Linked DNA regions of Macaca mulatta. The protein of the gene in region 1 purifies or fractionates together with the protein of each later gene. This does not show direct contact. Links are inferred from orthologs where the notes say so. Each region holds a gene or a part of one and is shown on either strand. Other genes may lie near its edges.

Region 1 (5,673 bases):
CCTTCCTGGAACCAGCTCCTGAGAACTGTCTAACTAGATGGAGACGTCCTAGCAACCTCCAGGGTCCAGCGCCCTATCAGCTGCTCTGCTCTCCCCACACCCTGACCCTATTCATGCAAAGTTCTCTGTGCCCCCAGGTGGCCTGCATATGCACCTAACGATCACCATAACCCTCAGTGCAGTGGAGCCCAGCCAAGAATAAGCCCCCTAACCCTGCCACCAAACAAACAAAAAAAAAATCCAACCTGCTCTGACTAATTCACACCAACATGTGAAGGACTAACAAAACCTAAACTCTTCCCAAGATGTTTGAGATTTTACAAGAGACTCAGGAACTCAAGCAGGGCTCCCGTGGGCAAAGATGACATTTGACATGGGGCCCAAAGGATGAGAAGGAGTCAGTGGTGAGAAAGGCAGGAGGTGGCTGTTCCAGGGAGGAACAGCCGGTGCAAACGCCCTGAAGCAAGAAAGAAAATGGCCTGCTCGAGGAACAGGAGGTAGATCAGAGTAGCTGGGGTGTGGCGGGGGACTGTAGACGCAACCACTGGTAGAACAGGAGTTTGTGCACCTAGTTTTTTCTCAAACTGAGCTTTTTAGCATCCACTATTTGCCCACAGGCTCTTCCAGTTACAAGCCATATAAATAATAACAATGCCATGTGTTAAACGCCTCCAACAAGCCAAGCACTGTGCTGGGCACTTTCTGTATTAGCAAAATCACTGATCATCCCAGCAACCCCCTGTATGAAAGGTCGTTATTATTTCTCTCTTTACAAAGGGAAAGTGAAGCTCAGGAAGGTGTAGTAACTTGTCCAAGGCTGCACAGCAGTCAGGAGTCAGAGGCAGGATTTTAACACGATTCAAATCTGACATTCTGACATTCAAACCTGTGACCTTCCCTGTGCGCTGAGCACAAAATACAGTCAGGATGCAACAGTGTGAAAGTGTGTTTTTCATCAGGGAGGCCAAAATTCTACCTATTATAATGATGATGATTGTTTCTTGTTCCGATTCTGCTCTCTGCATCCGCAGCACCTGAGCCCTATGCCCTGCACACACGGGCACTCCGTCTGGACCAGCGACAAGGCCAGGCCTTGGTTTGTTCATCTAAAGGTGGGGATAAGGCATAGGTGGGCCTTCGAATGAGGTCCCAGCACACAGCAGGTGCTCAGCATCCTTTGGCTGCGTGTTAGCAATGCACAGCTCCGAACGGCTCCTTCATCACCATTGCACCTGCTCCTCACAGAAACCCCCAGACCCTGAGGGCAGGATTCACTCCCATTTCACAGATGGGGAGACTGAGCCCTGGTGAGAAGACAGACCTCAAGGTCACATAGCTCCCTGATAGAACACAGGCCGCACAAGGGCAGGGAGTCTTTGTCCAGTCCCCAGGGATAAAACAGTGCCTGGCACGCAGCAGGTGCTCGGTAAATATCTGGTGTCTGGATGAAGGATTGGATAGCACTGCTCTGACTCCCAGAACTGTGCCGTCCCCGTTGCTGTCCCCTGCTGAGAGCTGGTGAATTTATGAAAGAAAAGGGGATGGACGGGGTGCAGAGGGAATTAATGTTTGAAAATGTCCACCATGGCGCTTTCTACGCCTAGTCCCACAACAAGCCCTGCACCCCATCCCATCATCATCCCCAACGTAGAGATGAGCAAACAGAGGCTTGCTCCAGGAAGCCAGACCACAGCGAGCCTGGGAGCAGGAAGCAGCGGGGCAACCTGCCAAGATCCGCTCTTGGCCTGAGCCAGGCCACCGAGGCACGGGCCAGGAACCCGGCGGCTTCCTCCAACCCTCTGTCGCTGCAGGCTGCGAGCAGAAAGCACATCCCGGACCCACGCTGATCCCGACTCAGCCTCGCCGAGGCGGGCGACAAAGGGCCGTTCTCAGCTCCCCCGGCCTCCCAAAGCCGCGGCCGGGTCGGAGCCTCACCGGCCAGGAGGCCCGGGCAGCCGTGCCCCTCTACCGCACACACCCGGCGGCGAAGCGTGACTCAGCGGTTCTCCCGCCGGGAGCGGGCGCGGCCCCCGCAGCCTCCCTCTGCCCAGGTCCCACGCCCAGCCTCTGCCTCCCGGGCCAGGGCGCCCCGAGCCCGCCCGCGCCCGCGCTGCACTCCCCGGGCCTCCGCGGGGCTCCAGCTCCGCTCGGCCTCATTTCCGGCAGAGCCAGGCTTCGAGGAGGCGGACCCAGCCGCAGGAGCCCGGTCCCCGCCGCCCGGCCCACTCGGTCTCCCTGACACAGGCACCCACGCGCACCTGCCCCGCGGGACCCGTGCCCAGGGCCCCTCCCACTGGGGCACCCACCCAGGGAACCCGCGCACACTTCTGCGGCCGGGCCAGCAGCCCGTGGGTTAGCGGCTGACCGTCCCCGCATCCGGGCAGGGCTCCAGCACAGGCGTCCCCGCGCCCAGACCTCCCGGTCCCCATTCTCCATCGGGGTCACTCCGCGGGCCCTGCCTGCGCGCGGAAGCTGTCCCCACTGTTCCCCTAGCAAGGCAGAGCAGGGGGCCCCGGAAGTTCCCGGCCTGTAAGAGAGGGGCGCTGACCCACCAGCCTCTGGGTAGGGTGGGGGTTGGGGTTGGGTTTGTAGGGCCAACTTAGGGGATTTTAAACAGGGCCTATTTGGGATGACATGTCCCACTTTTTGGAAAATCCCGACAGTTAGCCCAGCTGCTCCTGTCTCAATATAACTCACCAGGAATAAAAAGGCCAGCCCCAAACTAGCCGCCTTCTCCCTCCCATTCAGGGACCCTGCCTCTGGAGGACAGGGAGGGGCCTGGGCAGGCGGGCCTCCCAGGAGGATCTGGCAATGGATTATGTTTTTCCCCCCCTAGGTCCCTCTTCTCCAGGGAGAAGACAGCCTAGAAAATTCTGCGGGCTCCTGGCAGGGCTGAAATTGCAAATCCAGGATTTTAAACCATTAAATTTCCCCGAGATTTCTTCACCAGATTAGCCACAGGCATGGCCTTTTAAAAAATTATGGTCAGGGCCGAATCAGGATGCCACCTGGCCTGAGAGCGGCTGCCTCCCGGAGGGCGGCGCGGAGGAGGGCGCTGCCCTGTCCGGGCGCTGGGCAGTGGAGGCCGGTACCCTCGGGCTCCCTCCCTCCTGGGCCCCGGGCAGGGTGGGATGGGGTGGGGTGGGATGGGGTGGGGCGGGGGGACACGACACACATCGCGCGGTCCAAACCTTCGGAGGGCATTCGGTGCGACGGCATCCCCACGCCGCGGCCGGCCGGAGGGGTCTCAGACAACACGTACGTTACCTTCAGTCACATAGCTGTGGTCCCGCAGGAAGCTGTGGTTAATTTTCCGCGTGTCCGTGTCCTCGCCCATTGAAGGCCGTGCCCGGTGCTCTGGGCATGCCCCGCCGCCACACACCGATGCAATCCGCAGAGGTCGCGCCGGGCGCGCGGGCCATGCCGCCGCAGCCTAGCAGGGGCGCGGGCCGCCGGGGCCCCGGAGGGAGGGCATCGCGGCAGGGGGACGGGCGGGGGCGGCCGGGGGAGGGCGCCGCGGTCAAGCGATCGCGCGGCGGGCGGGCGGCGGCCGCGGGTTCGGGCGGGCCGGGGCCCAGGCGCGCATCCCGGCCGGCCCGTGCGCGCTGCGTCCGTGCGCCCAGCGGCGGGGCCTGATGCCGGTGCGCCTGGTTGCGGCGACGGCGGCAAGGGGACGCGCGCGGCGCTGCGCTGCGCCGACCAAGCCGGGGCCGAGCTGGGCTGCGCGGGCTAGGGCCGCCGCCGCCGCCGCCGCGGCTGTCGCAGGCCCCTCCCTCGCGCCGCCCGCTCTCCGCCCCCGCGGCCCTGCAGGTGGAGCCGGCGCCCAAGCTGAGGCTGCACCGCCGTGCTCGGGCCCTCGCGGTAGGCACCTTGGTGCTGGGTGCGCCACGGGGGAGGGAGGAAGGAGACCGCCGGCTTGCGGGAGAGTGTGATCAGCTGAGCTTGGGGGGAGGGTACCTTGGGTGCCCAGGTGCTCCAGTTATGGGAGAGAAGGCCAAGGGCAGGGGGGCTGGGAAGGGGGCAGGAGGAGGGCAGCCTCGCAGGCAGAAGGCAGAAAGGACTGGGAAGGAGGGAGTGGGGTCGCAGCTGAAGAGGGCGCACCTGGAGAATGGGTACTCGTGGGAGGGGAAGGACACTGGACCCCTTCGTTAGTGGAAGAGGGTGGGTCGTGCAAGTTCTGGGGCCCCTTGGGAGCGCCGAGTACATGTGAAGAAGCTGGGTGGAGGGGGTCCAGCACCCGACAAGGCACAACTGGATGAAATGGCTGGAGGAGTGAGTGGGCCTCCCCCAGGCAGGGCCCTGAGATATCCCCTCATGCCCGCCTCTCCTGACAGGTGAGAAAGTTAAAGAAACACAGAGCTAGGTACATCCAAAACCAGGCTGGAAAATGCTTCCCCTCCTCCATCCCCTCCCTCCCCTCCAAGCCCAGGACTCTGCCAAACAGGAACCTCCCTCTGGTCATCAGCCTGGCACATAGTGGGCCCTCAAAAAATATTTGCCTCCTGTTTTGCCAAGCTGCCCCTCCTCCACCGTAACCCACCGCCTAATGAATCACAGTCCCCTGCACGGGGCAAAGCCTCAGGGGGATTCAGAGGTGTGGGTGAGGAACCATCAGGCCTCCCTGGGAGCTCAACAGAGCCTTCTTGGAAAGGGAGGGACTCTGCGGCTTGCCTGGGAGGGGTAAGTGCAGTGGGATAACCAAAGCTGCAGGGGCTCTTGGGCCTAAGGCATTAGTGGAGCCATGTTCCAGGTGGGGACTGGTCTGTAATGGCCTCCACTTGTTTCAAATGGTTTTGGGAGAACTCCAGACAGCTCCCCAAACTGCAGTGGAAGTAGGAGAGTCCAAAGGTGTTGGGGCAGGGAGAGTGGGGCTGTGGGAAAGACAAGGGAAGGTGATGCCATCTCAGGTTTCTTGGAGAGTGAGAGGGAGTTTTTGAAGCTACAGCTGGGCTTTCGTGCCTTAGAAATCCCCAGAATGGACCTATGAGGAGATGAAAGGTCCCCACCAGCCCTATCAGCACTTTGCAGGGTGTCATGCAAGGGCTGGCCTGGGGAGAGGCCCCAGGGCCCTGCCAGCACCTGCTTTGGCAGGTGCCCTGCCCTTCACAGCCTCCACCTTTTCACTGTGGAACAAGCCAAAATCTCCCAGGCGTGCAGACTCCATTCAAAGACCAGGTAAATGCAAGGGCCGGAAGGATGTGCTTGTTCTTTGTCGCTTTCTATCCCGTAGGAAAGTGAATGACACCCACATCGGCCCCCACCCACCAGCCTGGCATGTTCTCCTCTCTCTCTCACACCTGTCCGCTCATATGCCCCCCACCTCACATCCTAAGCCCAGCCCCCCACTCTCTGTCCACACCCCCTCACCTCTCTAGCAGGGGCCAGCAAAATGGCTACGCTGGGAGAAAGACAAGCTGGGTTCAAGTCCTGACCACGAGGCAGCCTAGGCACAACCTCATCATCATGTGATGGCAGGAGTGGGAGTGGCCCCACGGGTTTGGGTGGCCAGTCCTGCTCAGCAGGGGCCAGGCCTCCTGTGAGCTCTCTTGTTATCATGCTAAGGCCCACCCTCCTGCACATTCGTCAGTCTCCCTCTCTGATCATGGAGAGGTCCCCTCTCCCCATCTGTCAATCCTGCCAAAACACCCGCCCTATGCTGGCATCAGCCTCATC
Region 2 (5,516 bases), on another chromosome or scaffold:
CACACCATGTAATGCCTATGGAACTAATAACTCATCTTCTATTGTGCAGTGCTACTAGTCACATATATAGATGTTTTTGTGATTCTCAAATACACAAACCCACCTAAAAGCATCATATATCCAGATGTTCACTGCAGCCTGAATAGCAGATTAGGAACAAGTTAAACATTAGTCAGTAGGTGACCAGTTAGTTGTATCATTCTTTTTGAGACAGGGTCAGCTCTGTCGCCCAGGCTGAAGTGCAGTGGCAAGATCATAGCTGACTGCAACCTCCGCCTCCCAGATTCCAGCGATCCTCCCACCTCAGCCTCCCAAGTAGCTGGGACCACAGACGTGCAGCACCACACCCGGCTAATTTTTGTATATTTTGTATAGATGGAGTCTCGCTATGTTGCCTCGACTGATCTTGAACTCTCAGGCACAAGTGATGCCCCTGCCTCAGCCTCCGAAAGTGCCGGGATTACAGGCGTGAGCCACTGAGCCCTGGCCCCTAGTTGTGTCATTCTTACAAAGAACATCACGCAGCTGTTACCGAGGACTTCCTATTAGTCTTGATATAGCACAATCTCCAAGACACTTAAAGTATAACACACCCTACAGTGTGTATTATGAATTGCCATTTGTGTGAGGAAATGATTATATTCATATATAAGTTTATAAATTCAGAAAGCATTCCGAAAATTCATAGAGTATCCAGGGGTAACTTTGTCTCTAGTGTTGAACTAGAGGTGGGAGGAAGATTTAATTTCCACTACATGCCCTTTGGTGCCTTTTGAATTCAGAACAATTTCCATTATTTATTAAAAATAAAATATCAGCCGGGCGCGGCAGCTCACGCCTGTAATCCCAACACTTTGGAAGGCCGAGGCGGGAGGATCACTTGAACTCAGGAGGATCACTTGAACTCTGAAGTTTGAGACCACCCTGGGCAACATAGTGAGACCCTATGTCTACAAAAATAATATAAATAAAGTAAAATATCACGTGTTACGGAATCCCTGGTATTTGGCGGGACACTGGATACTGGAAACAATTGTGGAGCTCTTTGGAAATTTACCTTAATAGGGAGTCCTCTCAAAGGCAGGAATGACTCTACAAGGGTGAGTTTTCAAATGTGCCATGGGGGCCTCGGGCCTCAGCAGCATCCAGAGCCCTACGGACGGGCAGGTTCTTACGTCTCAACTCCCATCGCACCAGTTCTGCAGCTTTCTAAAGGTATCCAGCACTTTCTACCTTGCATTCTATCTTCATCTTCGCTAGGCCTCACAGCACCGCATGATCCCGGGGCAGGGTGCTTATCAGACTCGCGTGTGTCTCCAAGCCACCTAGGGCACCGTCAAGCACAGGGTCCAGAAAGCTCCAATGAAAGAGATAAAAGCGCGAACCCGGGGGGCGGAGCTTGCAGTCAGCCGAGATCGCGCCACCGCACTGTAGCCAGGGCGACAGAGCGAGACTCCGTCTCAAAAAAAGAAAGAAAGGCATAAAATCAGCAAAGAAAGGAGACTGAGGAGCAAACCGCGAGAGTAGAGGCGGGAGGAGGCCCACCCTACGCCCTGCCCCCGCGAAGCACAAGCCCCGCCTGCGTCCTGGGCTCCCGGGTCCACAAAGCTGGGCCCCGCTGAGCTGCGACACCGGAACCAAGGAGCACGGTCGGCCGGGAATAGGCTCCTCCCGTGCGCAATGACGCCGCGGCCGCCGCGCGAGGGGTGGGACCGTAGGCGCCGTGCAGCCACGGACCAATGGGCGGGCGCCGGACGACCTGTGGTCCAATGGCGGAGGCGCGCGGGCACGCTGGGGGCGGGCCGGACGCGCCGACTTTTCCAGAAGACCCGGATAGTTCCTCCTGGCCACGCCGCGCCGGCTCTGGGTTCTCAGCCTCGTTTCCTTTTCCTCCGCTGGAGCAGCGATGGCGGCGGTGAAAACCCTGAACCCCAAGGCCGAGGTGGCCCGAGCGCAGGCGGCCCTGGCGGTCAACATCAGCGCGGCGCGGGGTCTGCAGGACGTGCTAAGGACCAACCTGGGGCCCAAGGGCACCATGAAGATGTGAGGCGGGGCTGAAGGGAGGGCCGGGTGGGCACCGCGCGCCGCCACGCACCTGGCTGGTCCGGGACCACGGGCTGGAGCCCGCCGCCTCGGGGCTCCGCAGCCGCCCTTCTCCGCGTCCTTCGGGGTCGGTCCTGTTCTCTGCTAAGCCCCACCGTCCCAGCCATTTCTTCCAGCGTTCATGCCGTCTCTGGGGAGAACAAAGCGTCTCTAGAGCGCGGCGTTCCCCTCCCTTTGGGGCTTCCAGGCACTCTGAGGACTCGGCACAATCTCTGCGGGGACGGGGTGGGCACTACACCTGTTCCTCCAGCCTGCGGGAGATAACTAGCCACATATCCCTGGCTCCGTAAGATCTGGGAAGAGCCCGTTTTCTAATGGGACTTTTAGTTATCGTTGAAAAGTCACTTCTGATTCATTTCTGTCCCTTAAACAGGCTCGTTTCTGGCGCTGGAGACATCAAACTTACTAAAGACGGCAATGTGCTGCTTCACGAAATGGTGAGAGGTGCTCTGCTCTAGGTCAGAAAGGTCTTGATTTTCCGTAGATTGTTTGCTTTGTGGAAAGATTTGCAGTGTCCGTTTTCAAGGCAGGAGAACATTTAGAAGTGGCATGTAATCAGTAATAGTACAGTGCCTGGAGTCTGACAGCTCTGCCTTTGAATTCCTGCTTTTTTGCTATTCACAGTCTGGGCTAAAGGACTGTAATTGTATATTAAAGTTAATTATTATAAAATTTGAAAAATTGAGAGGTTGACACAATCACATGGGCAAAATGCATGAGGATGATTTTTCTTTTTTTCTTTTTTTTTTTTTTAGTTTTTATTAGACGAAGTGTTGCTGTGTCGCACAGTGGCACAATCTTGGCCCACTGCAACCTCCACCTCCCGGATTCAAGCGATTCTTCTGTCTTAGCCGCCCAAGTAGCGAGGATTGCAGGCTCGGGCCACCACTCCCAGTTAATTTTTGTATTTTTAGTAGAGAGAGGATTTCACTGTGTTGGCCAGGCTGGTCTTGAACTCCTGACTTCAGGTGATCCGCCCGCCAAAAGTGCTGGGATTACTAGGCGTGAGCCACCGCACGCAGCCGGTTTTTCTCTTTTTAAAACAGCAATTTCTCCGTTAGGTCTCATCTGCATCTCCAAGTGGAGGGGATTGAAATCTGTCTCTTTGCAAGTCTTAGGGATGGAGAATATGAGATTATTGGGGGGAGTATGCGTTTTACTCATCCCCTGAATTCCCAAAACTTAGCAGTTCAAGAACAGGAAATGATTTCCTGCTGATTTGAGTTCAGAATAATACTTAGGGTTTTACTAGTAGCGTACCAAGCTATCAACATCCAAATGAAATATCTTTAGTAAGGACTTGGTAACCTAGGAGGTGTAGTGTTTGTTTTTAGTGGGCTCAATGGTGGCCCGTGTTGGAAAAGTGGAGCATAGTTAAACTTGATGTCGGAATTGTTTGGGGGCTGGGTGTGGTGGCTCATGCTTGTAATCCCAGCACTTTGGAAGGCTGAGGTAGGTGGCTCATTTGAGGCCAGGAGTTCACGACCAGCCCTGGCCAACGTGGTAAAACTCTGTCTCTACAAAAAATACAAAAATTAGCCGGACGTGGTCCTGCACGCCTGTTGTCTCAGCTACTCCAGAGGCGGAGGCAGGAGAATCGATTGCTTGAACCTGGGAGGCTGAGGTGTCATTGAGCCGAGTTTGTGCCACTGCACTCCAATGTAGGTGACAGAGACTGTCTCCAAAACAAAACAAAAAATTATTTGGGTTTTAGTGTGTGAGAAATACAGCATAAGTAGAGAGAAGCACGTTGAACATTTACAATTTAAGAAAAAATTATAAAATGGACACACACAACCACCACTGTAGCTAAGAAATAAATTGTTGCTACCACCTCAGAAGTCTCCTCCCACTGGAATCTCTCTCCAATCTCCAGAAGTCTTTCAGTTTTCTTTGAAAAAATTACAAACCTACAAAAATAATTACGATGTGTGTGCCCTTTAGGAGATACCTGACTTATTCTCACTAGAGCCATACACTTGCCATAAAGAGGCAAGGATGTAAAATTATGTTTTACTGTTAACTGGTAGCTCTGTCATTTTGAGTAAACTTTTACTTAGCCTCAAGCTTCCTCATCTGTAAAGTAGAGATAACCTGGGAAATAAATTACACATGAAAACGTTTCAATCATAATTGCATGTGCGTGATAGCTAATCGAAGTAATTTGTAGCCAAACACTTGGGTAGCTTTTTCAAGTAGATAGCACTTAAAGAGGCCCTTCCTACATTTTGTTTGTGTTATATTTAGACTGCTTCATGTTGTTTTAAGTGATTCATTCTTTTTCTACTTTCAGCAAATTCAACATCCAACAGCTTCCTTAATAGCAAAGGTAGCAACAGCCCAGGATGATATAACTGGTGATGGTACGACTTCCAATGTCCTAATCATTGGAGAACTACTGAAACAGGCGGATCTCTACATTTCTGAAGTATGCACAACTCTTGTTTCTGTAATATTTTATTGTATATAGGAAGTGTCTGATACTTATTTATACAAATTGATGTGCTGTTAATAGCTGAGGCCATACAGTAGAACTAGGGGGCTTAAATCTGGGTCTTTGTCCTGGTCTAAAACAAATTGTGACCTTGGACAGGTTATGGAACCTTTCTTGGCCTGAAAATAATTTTGTAATGAAGTTGCATTGCCTATGTGATTTGTATCTGTCCTTAGTGTAGATTAATAATTTAGATCTAAAAGTGGAATGTTTAGGACTAGGAATATTTGTTAGGAAAAAAGCATCCAAAAGCTTATATTTGGATAAATTCCACTTTTTTAAGCCCTGACTAGTTCCAAGGTTAAAACAAACCTCAGTGAGTATGAATCTGTTGTCAGAATTTCCTGGAAAAAGAGAGCAGTCTTTATTAAATAATTAGTAAATGATGTGAATTAGTTTGAGATTACCTATAGAAAAGAGAATAGTCCAAGCGTGGTCGCTCACACCCGTAATCCCAGCACTTTGAGAGGCCGAGGTGAGCGGATCACCTGAGGTCGAAAGTTCGAGACCAGTCTGACCAACATGGAGAAACCCCATCTCTGCTAAAAATACAAAAATTAGCCGGGCATGGTGGCGCATGCCTGTAATCCCAGCTACTTGGGAGGCTGAAGTAGGACAATCGCTTGAACCCAGGAGGCGGAGGATGTGGTGAGTCGGGATCGTGCCATTGCCTCCAGCCTGGGCAACAAGTGCGAAACGCCGTCTCCAAAAAAAAAAGAAAGAAAGAAAAGATAGAATAATGTTACCATCTGCGAGTCCTTGGTTGGGACACAGTGTCAATTTTGAAATGATTCAGAGTGGTTTGCACAGTGAATACCCAAGTGTGCTTTATAGTTTCCTTGGCTTTGACCCTGTGCTAGAGCATTACCTGTTCTTCTCCTCTGCATTGAAAGGAATATTTATCCTTTTAAATGTATTC

The links.
Region 2: the proteins of PPP2R2C (region 1) and CCT6A purify together in Homo sapiens (affinity purification with mass spectrometry; 4 studies listed by BioGRID and IntAct, counting the BioPlex papers as one, with this or other methods). This does not show direct contact. The link is inferred for Macaca mulatta from reciprocal best matches to the Homo sapiens genes PPP2R2C and CCT6A.

Annotation. Positions count from the first base shown.
Region 1 is NC_133410.1:6,563,515-6,569,187, reverse strand, and holds the start of PPP2R2C (protein phosphatase 2 regulatory subunit Bgamma), read right to left. Parts: upstream 3,412-5,673; 5' UTR 3,338-3,411; coding exon 3,268-3,337; exon of another isoform or gene 3,220-3,267; coding exon of another isoform or gene 3,192-3,219; intron 1-3,191. UniProt on the Homo sapiens protein: The B regulatory subunit might modulate substrate selectivity and catalytic activity, and might also direct the localization of the catalytic enzyme to a particular subcellular compartment.
Region 2 is NC_133408.1:72,119,802-72,125,317, forward strand, and holds the start of CCT6A (T-complex protein 1 subunit zeta), read left to right. Parts: upstream 1-1,822; 5' UTR 1,823-1,906; coding exon 1,907-2,043; intron 2,044-2,476; coding exon 2,477-2,540; intron 2,541-4,396; coding exon 4,397-4,531; intron 4,532-5,399; exon of another isoform or gene 5,400-5,516. UniProt on the Homo sapiens protein: Component of the chaperonin-containing T-complex (TRiC), a molecular chaperone complex that assists the folding of actin, tubulin and other proteins upon ATP hydrolysis.